2 linked regions of the Styela clava genome follow. Each later gene encodes a partner of the first gene's protein in a complex. Links are inferred from orthologs where the notes say so. Each region holds a gene or a part of one and is shown in the gene's direction. Other genes may lie near its edges. The genes, in order: putative cytosolic iron-sulfur protein assembly protein CIAO1 and cytosolic iron-sulfur assembly component 2B-like.

The links.
Region 2: the proteins of putative cytosolic iron-sulfur protein assembly protein CIAO1 (region 1) and cytosolic iron-sulfur assembly component 2B-like are in contact, whole or in part, in a crystal structure (PDB 6TBN), measured with the Drosophila melanogaster proteins. The link is inferred for Styela clava from reciprocal best matches to the Drosophila melanogaster genes Ciao1 and galla-2. Residues at the interface, in NP_610996.1 of Drosophila melanogaster: Arg16, Trp18, Arg60, Thr61, Arg63, Phe79, Glu105, Lys107, Arg123, Asp150, Lys152, Tyr168, Asn170, Ser195, Thr196, Trp198, Thr216, Ser248, Gly249, Gln250, His251, Ser252, Arg253, Tyr256, Gly272, Asp273, Asp274, Arg277, Glu299, Gln304; in NP_648416.1 of Drosophila melanogaster: Ser74, Pro106, Lys109, Thr111, Ala124, Lys127, Gln128, Asp131, Lys132, Glu133, Arg134, Ala136, Ala137, Glu140.

Annotation. Positions count from the first base shown.
Region 1 is NC_135252.1:24,218,849-24,226,713, reverse strand, and holds putative cytosolic iron-sulfur protein assembly protein CIAO1, read left to right. Parts: upstream 1-4,333; 5' UTR 4,334-4,355; coding exon 4,356-5,357; 3' UTR 5,358-7,493; downstream 7,494-7,865. Other genes in the region: adenylate kinase isoenzyme 6-like, read right to left, coding at 1,115-1,178; uncharacterized protein LOC120342056, read left to right, coding at 7,526-7,707. UniProt on the Drosophila melanogaster protein: Essential component of the cytosolic iron-sulfur (Fe/S) protein assembly machinery. Required for the maturation of extramitochondrial Fe/S proteins.
Region 2 is NC_135255.1:15,933,310-15,940,685, reverse strand, and holds cytosolic iron-sulfur assembly component 2B-like, read left to right. Parts: upstream 1-4,797; 5' UTR 4,798-4,836; coding exon 4,837-5,307; 3' UTR 5,308-6,219; downstream 6,220-7,376. Other genes in the region: organic solute transporter subunit alpha-like, read left to right, coding at 6,311-6,365, 6,597-6,739, 7,336-7,376. UniProt on the Drosophila melanogaster protein: Component of the crb-galla-Xpd (CGX) complex which is essential for proper mitotic chromosome segregation in early embryos. The CGX complex is also required for cell proliferation in developing wing disks.

The DNA of each region.
Region 1 (7,865 bases):
GTTATGCTATCGACAAATCTGGGTAATGGCTAATACTACCTGATACAATATATACCTTAATTCAGCGGTTCCCAAACTAAGGGTCAAAAGGAATCTTAGTGGGTCGTGAAAAGATGTAAAAAGCTTTGATTAATTATACTGGTTATTAGGATCGGTGGCGACTCGAATACGTAAATCTTTAAAAAAAAACAAAAATAATAAATTGAATTTAAATTCTAATCTGTGACAGTTTCATTTTCACGATCTTCTCAAAGGAACAAAAATTTGCTACACAAAATCCTAGCAGTTCATTCATCAAAAATAAAATTACATTGTAGAAAATCACGAGATGGGTTGCCATAAGCTGTAGTAATAAATAGTGCGTCCCAACTCTAAGAAGTTGGGGAACCACTGCCTTAATTTGAATGTCTTGAAAGGATGGAAATATAAAATTTAATTTTCTATCTTCTCAATACTCTGTACACTGATACAGTAATACATATATCTGTTGTAAATTAAAGTAATGTCTAATTTGCCCCATCTCTCAGTGGTATTGCGATAAACCAAAGATATTTAGAGTCAAATTTAAATCTTGATTATTCGACAATATTTTTACAACGTGATGCATCAATCAATACAAAACCAAAGCGTTAATATCAGACCTGCCTACAGTTTTAATTATATATAATATATTATATAATTTATCTTAAGTTTATTGGGTTTACTTATTTCGCAATTATCTCTGTTGTTATGTGTGTGTGTGAATTAATTTAATAATTTTAGGTGAGTGAACACGTACCAGTTCTTCTTAGCCAAACCTTCCATCTTATATTCTGTACGTTTTAAACCTTATCTAAGGTTTTGTTTGCTCTCCTGATTCTATAATCGGTTTATATTTTTATTATTCATTTTAATTCCTGTTATGCAAATTATGGAGCCGAAATGACCTTATACTTATTATTTTAAAAAAATTATTTATTTTTCTGTTATTGTTCGATCAATTGATTGTTTAATTTGGTGATAATACTGGAATTAAAACAAATTAAATTAAGATAAATTGTACCTAGTAAACAAAAATAATAGTGAAAAACGAAAATACTTAAAATCGAAAACGTTATATATATAATCATCTTACCGGTTATTAAAACATTTGGAAGTTTTCTTTGGTTCATTTTGAATGTACTTCCAGCACAAAACATTCAGAAATGACGCCAATATGACGAAACTCGTAGAAACTGACCAGAACGAGTTGATCTGATGTAATTGTAAACAAATGTGACTCCACATGGAAACTCTAAAGTGACTCCTTGTGGATCAAAAATTTTTCCACACAAACCGCTAGATGACGACATTGAGTCGCATGTGAATTTCCGATTGATTACATTTCAGAAAATTGGAATGAATTTATTCAAGTTCTAATTTTTATTTTTCACCAAATTAATTGTTGGGAATACCTCAGAAATTGGGCGACCTTTTAACAATGTCATGGCATTATCCCAGTGCCACTGGCACCATAGATCACGTGAACAAAGTTGGTAAACATGACTTTTGCTTTTGTCCACTCTCAGACAATTTCGTGTTTTGCTGCTAGCTTCACAGAGGTCTCTCAGACTCTGTCTGTAGAAATCTTCAGTTTTTAGACAAATGATACATATTTTTTTTTTATTATGTTTGTTTACTATCGATGTGTAAGTCATCGAGTTCTTCTTACTTTATATTTTCTCTGTGTTTGTGTGGGCGCGTGTGCAAACTAATTCAATTATTTTAGGTGAGTGAACACATAATTTGGACGTTGTTTTGCTAGTTAGTAGGGTGGTGTAGCCAGTCTGCGGACGATTTCATTCAAACCGCGACGGCGACTAAAACAAAAACCAATATTTCCAACCCGTTAATTTTTTCACCGTAGGTGCATTGGCATTTATTCTACACGCTGAACTTCTACGACCAATTTCTAATTCTACGAATTAACTTTCTACGACCAGGGGTTAAAGCTATACAAACCACCAAAGTACGACACTCTGAAGACGTTTTTGCGACCGAACGACCAGTGTGCGATCACGAATTTCAAGCCTTGAACATCGTTTCTGCTGCGTCGAGACTAGGGCATACGCAGCCATGCGTGAAAAAATGGGCTTCTAATTGCATTTCTGACCGTCATATATTTTAAGAACACAGTTATTTCAAACAAAATTCTTCAAATTATAAACAAAGCGCCGCATCACAGCAATCAAACAGACAAAAACACGGTGGTCGCAAATTTGTTGACAAAGATATTATTGACGTATTGGAAATGCGCACCCCCCTACTCCCCCTCCTTTGAATGTAGAAACGCGAAACTTTAAAGATGGTTAAAAGAAACACAACTCTTCCCACCTGCCAAGTTTCATCTCTTTATCTCTTATATTTGTATGGATTTTTAAGCTTTTCCGAAGGAACAATGGGTAGTTGGCGACATGGTAAAATGGTCCGTTTTTTTTCTTCGGTCAGGTTTTCAGTCGTAACTTTTTTATTTGTGGTCGCATTTTAGTGTAATTTTGCAGAGCTACGAGGGATAAGTGGACGATAACGTGTGAGAAATATCGTCGCGGTTCGTTAATTTTTTCGGCATTCGTTTAATCGATGAAGTTGATGGTCGCAGATAGGTCGTGGCCGCAAAGTGGGTAAGCCACCCTACTTCTAATTGTTGAGTGAAGCAGGTCTAGCTCACCCCTTCATATATCCAACTTGGCAATTCTGATTGGGCAATTTGGCATTAGGTGACTCCAATTATAATCAGATTGACGATATCTTTCAAGGAATACTTTTCTATCCACAGTTGATTAGTCTTGTTGACTAATTCGATATCCAATTCGGCAATCTTCATAAAACTATTAATTTGGTGTGGCAAATGAGTTTACTCATTTTTTTCCTTTGTTTGTATATTTTTCTTTTTACTTTTAATTGATATTTGAGTAATTTAATTGATTTTAAGTCTCGCTTTTTCCACTTCCGACGTTATCATGTTTCAATGATTGTAGGTGCGTGCCTTAATTAATTTTTTTACTTTTGGGTGAGCGAACGCATACTACTTCCTTTATCAATACCTTTCCATCTAAAATCTGTACGTCTATGTAAAATCTAGCTAATCATGTAAAAACTTTTAACTACAAATTATTGTGGAATATTTTACCGCTTAAACCAATGTCAAGAATTAGATATATTGCTGGAGATGACCTATGTGTATTTTGGGACAAAGAAGCTGAATTTATAACACATTTATTCTGGAATTGCTCATTTGTGAAACAATTGTATGATTATGTTTTTTCTATTATTATGAAAATAACTAACAGTGGCAACTTAATAAATTATGAAACATGTACATTATTAGATTTAAGACACAATAATTATATACATTTGACCAATATAGAAAAAAATGCTATTATTTTATTGATATGTACTGCAAGATATAAAATTTGGTTGCAAAGAAATGCAGTGATTTTTGAAAATGTAATGCCAAGAGTGAATAATGTAGTCAATACTATAAGAAATTCAATAAGGTGTAGGAGAAATATAGAACGACTGAGAAATTTACCTAATTATTGTGAAGAACTTGATTTATTATGCAAATATATATAAAATATAACTAGAAGTGTTTATTGTAATGAAGTGGAACTAATTCTTGAAATTTAAAAAAAATAAATAAATCTGTACGTTTTAAACCTTACTCAAGGTTTTGTTCGCTTTCCCGATTCTATAATCAATTAATTTTATCTCTTGTTTTATTGTCTAATGCTGATTATGGAGTTGAAATAAACTTATACTTATTATACATACTGACATACCGTGCGGTACCACTTCTTCTTGGCAAAACCTTCCATCTTATATTCTGTATGTTTTAAACCTTATCTAAGGTTTTATTTGCTCTCCTGATTTCATAATCAGTTTTTTATTTATTTGTTTCTATCAATCATTTTATTGCCTGGTATGCTGATTACTGGATTATGTAGTCGAAATAAAATCATACTCATTATGTTTTGTTTACTTTAAATGTACATATTCTAAGTAATCTTCTGGTGCACTTGACCGAAAATGAGTGGCATTGACATGTTCATTGTTGGAATTCAACAACTGTTATACTTATCCTCCTAATTCAGTAATCTTTTCAGTATATCACAAAATAATATCATTCTAGGATTGCGGAAAGTTTATATCTCTCCCATTGCCATTTTTTTCTATCGCAAACCGAGTAATTAGCAGACGTAGAAAAACAAGTATAGTTTGCCTGACGAATATGTTTTTTGAAAGCCATACTTTATACTTTAAATTTACATAGTTTATGTCTTCATTTAATATTATTTTTTTTATCATTTAATAATATATTATAAATCAGCCCTATAATGTCTATCCGACAAATTGCAACGTTAACGGGACATGGTGATAGAGTATGGGGTGTTCACTGGAATCACACAGGAAAGCATTTGGCGTCTTGCAGCGGCGACAAAAGCGTGCGAATTTGGGGGCTGGAGGGTGAAAAATGGGTCTGCAAAACGATTCTCGAAGAAGGCCACCAGCGTGCAATACGAAGGGTTGCTTGGTCCCCTTGTGGGAACCGTTTAGCGACCGCAAGTTTTGATGCAACAGTTTGTATTTGGGATAAAAAATCAGGGGAATTTGAATGTATTGCAACACTTGAAGGACATGAAAATGAAGTCAAAGCTGCAGCCTGGTCCATTTCAGGGTCATATCTGGCAACATGTTCTCGGGATAAATCAGTCTGGGTTTGGGAAACCTATGATGAGGATGATTTTGAATGTGCAGGGGTCGTGACCTCTCATACCCAGGATGTAAAAGAAGTAGTATGGCATCCTAATGAAGATATTTTTGCTTCGGGTAGCTATGACGATACAGTGCGGATTTTTGAGGAGGATGACGGGGAGTGGGTTACTGGTGCAGTGTTAGAAGGTCATGACTCCACCGTGTGGTCAATTTCTTGGGATAAATCCGGCGATCGATTAGCAACAGTCTCAGATGATAAAACTTTAAAGATATGGAAACGCTATAAATCTGGCAACCCTCAAAATATTGTGACAGGGAGTTCAAAGTATTCATGGAAATGTATTTGCACTCTTTCTGGATTTCACGAAAGAACGATATTTTCCGTTGACTGGTGTCATCAAACGGGACTCATCGCTACAGCGTGTGCCGATGATGCTATTCGAATCTTTAAAGAAGATGAGAAAAGCTCTTCTGATGAACCGACTTTCAATCTGTTGTGTTCGTATAATCACTCTCACGCGCAAGATGTAAACTGCGTGTCCTGGAATCCCGCTCAGCCGGGAATCCTCGCTTCAGCGAGTGATGACTGTGAAGTTAAAATTTGGAAAATTGATGATGTTTAATCTTTTTATGAATTTTAATTCAAAACCTAATGGGAGAGTGGAGCCGATAAGAGGGCTTAATGGGTGCTCCCGAAGTATGCGAACCAAGATGGGCGGACATCGGAACGTAACATGGGTAACAGGTTATGGTTAGGCGATGATTTTTTTCCAATTTTCCTTATTTTTATCCTATTATCAGTTCGAAGACTAGCCAAGAGCCTCCCGTAGTATTTATAGCTAAAATTATGGCCTAACCCTAACCTAGTACACATTACATTCCGATGTCCGCCATCTTGGTTCGCATACTTCGGGAGCCCCGCTTAATGATATGGCGAACTATGGCCTCTCGACCATGCAATGGTGTTCGAGATTATCAATGGCTTTTAAAACTTATCCTAAGGGGAGAGGAAATTTGATAAGATGGCTTAATCATATGGAGAACCACGGCTTCTTATCTGGTTATCAATCCATGTGATGATTTTTAGGATTCTTCATAATATTTATTACTCATCCATGTTAATGGGAGATGAAAAACGGTAACGTGGCTTGATCACACAGTATGCTGTGTTGAGGCAGCTTGACTCAATTTGAATTGGACTCGAGTTATCATTTTTTAAAGACTTGAAGTGACTTGGGGCGTTGACTTTGATGACTGTCTGGTTGTATCACTCTCTCCAAAATAATTTATTACTTATTATTATTATTTTTTTTACGATGACTGTTATATTATTTTGGTTGACGAAAAAAATAAATCTCTCCTCTCTCGTCGAAATCGGTGATTCTCAAACCGTGGCCCCTTGGGCGAAATGATTTAATATGGCCCATGCCCATCGGACCTAATTGAAATAGTCCAACACTTTATAACATATATATTTTTGCATTCTAATTACTGTCAATTGTTATGTCATTATCGCAATTTTTAATGCATGTGTATATCATAACAATTTGATTTTCATCTTTTGAAAGTACTGATCGTAATGAAGTGATTCAACAAATGGCCAGTGAGACTTAATGCAGGAATTGACTAGACTTGACTTACATTTCTAATCTGGTTTTCGTTCCGAATCCAATTTTTAAGGAGCGTTGTCCAAGGCTAAAGACAAATATGACCTATATATAATATTCACAGTTTGTCATATTGAGATCTGAGCCTTCGGCCCAGTAACCAAGTCTATTCTCTGTAACTGACCCACTCAGAAGAGTAGTTGCCCTGCCTTGAAAACCAATCTATTCTTTTATATGCTGTTCACTCTGAACAAGGCTACATTACTGCTATTTTCCCCATCTTATGTGGTCCATGGCATCTTCTGGAATTTACATGTCTGGATCTTCATGTGTTTCGTGAAACTTAGTGTAAAAACATATCAATTCAGCGACCCATACCCTATCTCCATCTTTTTACACCGGAACCTGGGATATGGACGTGCCATAAACTGACTATTGTACATATCGTCGTTGTGCCGTACCTCTTTGTCTTGTGTATTTTATTTGTATAGTAATTTCATGTCTGTTGTCCTAGTATAACGCAGCAGTCCTAAACATGCATGTCGCACATCTGTGTCTTAGGCCAGTAAGGTCTTGAACATGTATCCAATCTCTGTTTTACTCTTTAATTATTATGCAGCTACTGTTACTTTTTTGAGGCAAATAAACATACATACATACATACTTTTAGCACTCATGGCCCCCTGTCCATCATTCCAGTGGTATTTAGAGTGTAATTTTATTTGGTAGATTAGTTTGACACCTGACATTGTGGCCCAACTGTTCTGTGGCCTTCCTGGGGAGGTATGGCTTCCTGGTTGGGAACTGCTGTTATGTAGTTTGGAACGACTGGTATATTTCTGGTTTGGCCCTGGGTGAGGCGCTCATTTATAATTATTCGAATGATAATTTTTAATCATTGAGGCATATCTGGTCAGAATAAGTTCTATTCAATTTAGTAGGGTATAATTCTGTCTAATTGTTTTTGCAAATATTGAGGTGTTCAACTGTTTATTTTTCACTATTAGTCAATGAGGCAAATCTGGCCAGAATATTTGCTTCTTAATCAAAGGGCTTAAGTGCTGCCACATTTATTCATTTCAAGAATATTATTATGATCTATCAGCTTTCCCATTTAATAATTTTATTGCTTTTTTTCATTTTTAAATTCAGCGAAAATTTTGTAAATAAAATCAAAAATATAAATGGAGACGCAAAAAGGCGGGAATGGTCGCGGTTCAATAAACCCAAACTATTTGCACGGTAATGCCGTAACGTCTATGATTTCACCAATTAATAAACAAGGATATTTGGGAGATTTAGAGGAAAAATCTGAACCAGAATTGAATGAATTACTGGAAAGACAGGAAAAAATGCTGAAAAATAAGTAAGTGGTATATTTTAAATTTCTGTTTGTGGGTTTTAGGTGAAATTTTCGTGTCTAGATGTTTCAATCATACTTTTCAAGTTTCATACTTTTCGAGTCGAGTATGAATCATTTTAAAAGTGTTGCTACAAGAAGGGTCACACAAACTCACTCAGAAG
Region 2 (7,376 bases), on another chromosome or scaffold:
TTCCCCACCGTCCCAAACGGTAGTCCTAAAGGTTCCGGTCATACAGTATGGAAGTCATGAATAATTTTTTATTTATATTTTATTACAATAATTTAGTATTAATATAAAATTGTTTATCTTTTTTAATGGAGGCATCCGATTTACCACTGATTAGCAACTCACTTTACTAGTTCAGAATGAGAGAGATAGAGCTACTGTATTGCCATGTTACAGTTATGATACGAAGTATAAACCCTGCGTTAATTTAACATCTATCTATCCGGTCGTTGAATCATCAAAAGGCTGAAAAATAAACACAGGTTTTCTGATGAGTTGAAGCAAGATTTCCATTATTTGAAGCAAATATATGGGATATTTTGATAAGACAGCTAATTTTTATGTTCTATCATAACAAATAAGCCATTTAATCTGATTCTCCACTGTATACCCAAGCTAATGCTATTTTGGCACTACCCAACCCGCTTCCCACCCTTACATATTTACAACATCACCTAATTCATTTCTTACCCCTCACATGTGGAGGTCTACACTCAACCCGCCTCATGGTGCCCCTCAATCTCTCACCCAACCCACCTCCCAGCGTCTATTATGTCTCACCCTACCCGCTTGCCTACACCCAACCCACTTTCTGGTGTCCCATCCGAGATGCCCGCCTACACCCAACCCGCTTCCTAGCGTCTCCCTACGTCTGACCATACCTGCCTATAACTAACCCGCCTTCCAGAGTCTCCATACGTCTGCCCATACCATCAATGCGTCACCTACCTAAGTCCGGCCAACTTGCTAACATGCCCCCATGTCTGATGATAGCTGCCTTCTTGTCCTATCAGCCCCCTCCTAGCTTTTTTGTGATTTATATCTGGTCGAATTATGCCAACGAAGTTAGACGGCGTCAACGTAGGGAAGCAATAAATTATATTTGTCTACATCTAACAATAAGTGCAACTTTTTTGATATCCGAATACCATAACTAGTAGCTTAAAAATACCATTATAACGATTACATTTAACCGGCCGACGGCAGTTCAACGTTCAAATATAATTCTACCCACAATTTCGACCAGGTTTACGAGCTACAGCAAGGCTGGAGAGAACCACCGTTACGGCCAACAAGTCAATAAATCTGCCAAGATTTATATGCCCCACACCCCACCGATGAATGTTAGCATAGATTTAAAAATTACCATCTGGCGACCCAAGGGATGTTATGAAACGGAAACCACAGGAGTGGAACGTAACTGTATGAACGTATGAAACTGATACTGGTCCGAGACGGTTCGTGAAAGCGGCATCTCGGGTAAAATCACTGCAATCGTTTTTAGCGTACTTAAGTTTCTGTTTTCTTAACACAGGCAACCATTATCAAAGCATTCAGATATGTTCGACTGCATTCAAAAATTGTTAATTTAGTTATATTAAAAAATCGGTACTCCCGAAGTATGTGAACTAAGATGGCGGACACCAGAACATAGTAGCCTACGTGTACCAGGTTAGGTTTAGGCCATAATTTTATCCCAATTTTAGTGCTATTACGAGTTCGCGGAATAGCAAAGTGACACCCGTAGTATTATTACGTGAAATTATGGCCTAACCCTAACCTGGTACGCATACTGGGTTAGGCCTACGGTGTCCGCTATTCGGGAGTACCAAAAGTACAATTTTGAATGTATTGACAACGTTACAGATAACAAGTAGGTAACGATAATAAAACTTTTAAAATCGAGTAAGGGAGGGAAAGCGAACACGTACCATTTCTTTTGACAACATCTTTTAATCTAAAATCTGTACGTTTTGAACTTAACTTAATAAGGTTGTGTTCGCTTTCCTTATTCTGTAATCAGTTTTATTCATTTTTTTTTTCATCTTTGTTTTATCGTCTCTTATGCTGTTTTTGAGGTCAAAATAAACTTATATTTTTATACGCGTCTTCTTACTTGATTGTACTTTCCCAATTAATGTAGCATGATTGTTGCATGCTATTAATAATAACTAAATGCCATAATTGTTGTCGAATATGACCGCAGCGGCAAAAGTGACAGAGGGACTAAAACTGGCGAACAACACGCAAAACTACCAAAAGAGGGAACGTTTACAACCGTGTTTGAATATCTGTCTGATCCACGGCATAAATTCCAACTGTCACTTCATTGTTAACGTATTGTTGATTTGTAATTGTTACGGAAATAAACAAGGAAATCGATGCCCGGGGAAACATCCTTTAGCTCTACAGCAGGGGTCGGCAACCTCCGGCCCGCGAAGTAATATAATCCGGCCAGCGACACTTCACCCAATTATAGTAACAAAACAGTTGTTTTGGCGATTATATTCTTTACGTAACAGAATTTATTGTGAGACACGTGTAGACTAAATTATATTATAATCCAACAAGCATAAATTTACAATTACTCGTTTAATAATTTAATTACAATTAGACAAATGGCAACAAAACGCAGAAAAGTTCAAGCTAAGTGCAAAGGGTTCGATGGCGCCGAAAATATTCAATGGAATTTTTTGAGATGCAATGCAATGAGGAAATAAATCTATATTCTAGTGATGGATGCGTTCGTTCGGTTTCTAAAAATATGGGCTGCCCGACAATCACTTGCAACTCTAACTTTTTGTCCCCTGAGCGACAAAAGGTTGCCGACCCCTGCTCTACAGCTTAGGCCAGGGGTCACCAAACTTTTTTGACCGCGGGCCGGGTATGACTCAAACTGTGTTGAAACGGGCCGGATGAATATTCTTGTCAATGCAATATAATAAATTCACAAAAGTTGGGAAATCCATTCAACAATATATCTTCTACATTTCTGAAGACTTGATTCAAATTCTATGTATATCGCAGAATATAGATCAGGAACATCCTAGGAAAACAAATATGAAAGATTTCAATATCTAAACAACTATCCTGAGTTTAGCTGGTATCAAAACGTTTCTGTCGTGAATTAGGAATTTTCAAAATCCGCTTTTTCGCGCCAAAAAATATACGCATCACGTTTGCTAAGTACCGTTATGCAGTGTTAGAAAACCGCGTACCGGTAGAGAAATTTAGCCTATTATGTCACAGCTATTCCTAGACTAATTTTTCCTTACTACTATTAAAACTACAACTCCTAAGGACGCAAATGATGATTGACTTATTTGATTCATACTTAAATTTCCGAAACACAACCAAAAACTAACGAATAGCATTTAAAGTCGCAAAAACGAAATATTGTTTACAACCACGACTGAAAATCTATCAGGGTGAAAAAAGTGTCTGAGCGGAAGCGAAAAGAAATATTATTACGTCACGTTTTTGCATCTTGCAGATTGGCCAATGTTACGAATTAAACAAGGAAGACGATGCTCGGGAAAATCTCCCTTGGAAAAATATTTAGCAATGTTTGCGTGTTATTGCGGGCCGGACCGGCCCGCGGGCCGTAGTTTGGTGACCCCTGGCTTAGGCCTTTGGACAGGGCTGTGCAACCTTTTTCGTCTAGCGTGCCAAAATCGGTTAAATTTAATGACAACATTTTTCCGCCGCGTGCCGGCCAAGATTAAAAACAATGCTTTGCTACTTTCAAAGCAAAAATACACAATAATAAACTATTTAAACATGTACAGACAGATTAACTATTAGTGTAAGTATCTTCCCGACAAATAGATTTAATTACTTTTCTTATTCTATCTAAGTGAGACTTTTGCTGCTTCATTACCGCTGATAGAGATTTCACATTGGGTTTATATTTTGTAACTTTCAAAGAAATACACGAACTACTGGTTTCATCTTTCAGGCTACTCCTGTTGCGAGACTTAATAAGGTTTATAACTGAGAACAGAGATTCACAAGCATATGTCAGTATGTAGATGAAAACATGGAGAGTAGTGCAGTTGCAAAGTTTTTAAGACACGAAAAATTCGCGAATGGCATCCCGATTTCCGCACTTCTCTCTTGTATTCGCTTCCCTTATCGCTTATATATATTTCTTTCAAAATTAATTTATAACAGTAACTATACCCGATATGAGCTGTACAACTTCACAAATCAAGCAGAAATGACGAAAAAGGGCGACACATAATGAACTATATTACGTGAGAATATAGCCAGGTGAACCCTGCGCCCCAAGGCCTCGCTCGCGTGCCGAATAAATGCACTCGCGTGCCAAGTTTGGCACGCGTGCCAGGGGTTGCCCACCCCTGCCTTAGTATTATACCTTCCGATTATACACCCACTACAGCACTAGAAGTACTTTAGGTACGAAACTACACTAGACCCGAAAATAATGTGGTTCTGTTATTTTAATAATTTTTACATAATACTGTCGGATAGGACAGTAGGATCTACATATTTATCCCGGGGGTGAGCCGGTGAGGAAAGACAGTACGACTGCTTAAACCAGTCATTTGTTTTCAGATGAATACACTTAATTCTGCCAAGAATTTTAACCTTTTCGCCTCGCCGCACACAAAGGTCAAATTCTACTAGCTTCACAGCGGTGATACCGAGGAGTCGAGCAATCCTCGCGTACATAGTAACCCCGCATAAGATTCAAACCTGCAAAGCCACGCATTGTAATCAGATGTGTGGTGCTGTGGTACCGGTATTCCTGTATTCCTAACGCTTATCATGGTGCACAACACTGTCGAGCCGCTGTAATATCTGAATTGAGCAGTACAGCAATACACAATGAGATAATTTATTCTGTACTCAGCCATGGGGATTAAGATTCTTTACTTAGTTCTTGGTTGTACTTGTATTTGCTACAAAAACACCATAATTTTACTGAAATGAAATTCCGTTAATGACATTCAAAATTTGTTTTCTCTATGTTATACAGTTATAACAGTAAAAAGCATGAACTTCTCATCTAAAGACAACGCTAATCCACTAGTTCATGAATCTCAGACTCCGAGATATCGGGAAGAAAACCAAGATGACGACATTCATGATGAAATCGATGCCAGAGAAATTTTTGATTTGATTCGTGATATCAATGATCCAGAGCATCCACTTACTTTGGAAGACTTGAGAGTTGTGAATGAAAAAGACATTTTTGTTGATGATAAAGCTAGTTCCGTCATTGTTTCATTTACTCCAACAATACCTCATTGCAGCATGGCTACATTAATTGGACTAGCAATCAGAGTACAACTTCTAAGAGCTTTACCTTCAAGGTTCAAAGTTGAAATAAAAATTGCGAAAGGAACACATCAATCAGAGACTGCAGTTAATAAACAACTAGCAGACAAAGAAAGAGTAGCGGCAGCTCTTGAAAACAATCATTTATTGGGTGTTGTTAATCAATGTTTGACCGTGAAAAACTAACAAAATAGTTGTTTAACAGAATTGTCTGACATTTCTTTCAATATGTATATACATATTTCATGCGTGTTGGAATGGGGAAGAAGTTGTTCCATGTTTTCGATTGTGCGGTGTATGTGTGGTGTGGAGCACTTTAGTATTTTTTTGGTTCGATGCATGGCGGATAACAACACCTCTTTTCCAGACCGTTGGAACGGGCAGAGGCATATTCATGTAAACACGTGAAAAACAACTTTGCAGAATAATTTTTTTTTTTTTTAATTGAACAGTTTTGACAGTTAATCCTGTGACTAAATATGATTGTAGAATTTTAGATCAAAATGTGTGAAACTGAATAGGTATCAAAGCATGACTGCCAATTTACCACCATGCTTCATTTTACATGTTTTATTAATTCAGCAGACAGGAAAAATTAAGCGACTGATGTAGTGGATATTTATGTTACTTGTATATTTTCCAGCAGTGAAACGGTCATAAAAGCTTTATGTAGTCTCATGGTCTTGTTTATGGTTGTCCATAAGAACACTTCTTCATTATCCTGCCGAACGTGTTTATACCATGATTTATATCTCTGATATTATTCTCACAAATGCAATGCCGTCGCCATGTTGCGGATTTTTTTGAGTCAAGTTTATGCAATTGCTTTTCAAGCTTTTGGTAGATAGATTTCAACAATAGTAGATCTATAATTGTAGTCACAATGCCATGCCAGTTATAATAACTGCTAGGTTACTCATAGCATATTAAAATTTACAAAATACTTTCACATAAAAGTGCTCATATGATGATGATGATTGCTGGTTTAAATGTAAACGAGTAATTTATTCAATACTTATTAATTTTTACCTTAATGAGGAACTTAAATAGTTCGTTAGTACTTCAAGCTAATATTATCTGTATATTTTTTTGCCTAGATTTGGAACTATACAATATGCTCATAACATAGCTGAAACATTGAGAATTATTAGCAGGACATAATGAATATAACCAACTCCTTTCACAAAAAATGTCAAACAATTGTTCAAATAATGTTAGTCCTAATATCACAACATTCTTCGCTCGTAAGTAGTGCTTTTTTATTTGTGTTCTGATTTTTTTACCATTCATAATGTGACGAATTTTAGTTACTTTGTCTCCTAAGATGAAATATTGATATTCAAATGTGAATATTTAGTTGAAGATGGGTATAAAAACATCTGTCTTATACTATTCTACTATATTCGATAATTTCAGAAAAGCAGGAATTTAAATTAAATTGCATGTATGTTAAAAAATTTATTTCTTTATTTCAGACATATCGACAGCCGAAGCAGTTGCAGTTTGTTTTGAAGGATTGACGACATTGCTTCTCATTTTCATATTCCTAAACGATTGTTTTCATTTTAAACGTGAATCATCAACCTCATCAAGACTGCAAAGTATTCTTATTATACAGGTACACTTCACGCCATAGATTGCTTGTTATATGTCAAAATAATATATGATTTACCGGTATTATGTATGTTTGTCTGTATTAAATTTGTGCATCATTAGCTGTGACCTAATATACACATAAAGGATATTTTGCTTAAAGAATAATTTTTGGTTAGCGACATAAATTGAGATTATAATTCTTAGATAAACTTTGACCTAACACCGCTCAGCTATACAATTCAAAACCAAATTCATGGAAAAACATGCCATTGCCTGGATAGAATCTTTTTTTTTATATGGTTCCACTGGCTAGAATCAGTAATTTATTTTTCCACCATACTAATATGTAACAATATAGTATGTAACTACACTTTATGAATGAACAATACAAAAAGGAAGTAATATGGTACTTCGGGGTAAATGGAGGCATGTGACACCATTACTGGTTAATGAGCAGCGACACCAGTGATTTAAGTCAATAGTAATAGATAAATCAAACAATAATTACTGGTGCAGCCATATATATGTGGAAGGTGTTGGGACAACTGGAATATTTCAGGTTCAATGTGTAACTGATGCTTCGCTAAAAATTCAAATCAAGTCCAATTGTTTTTTCAGCTTTCCTATGTAGCATATTCAACCAGCTCATTCCTCGCAAT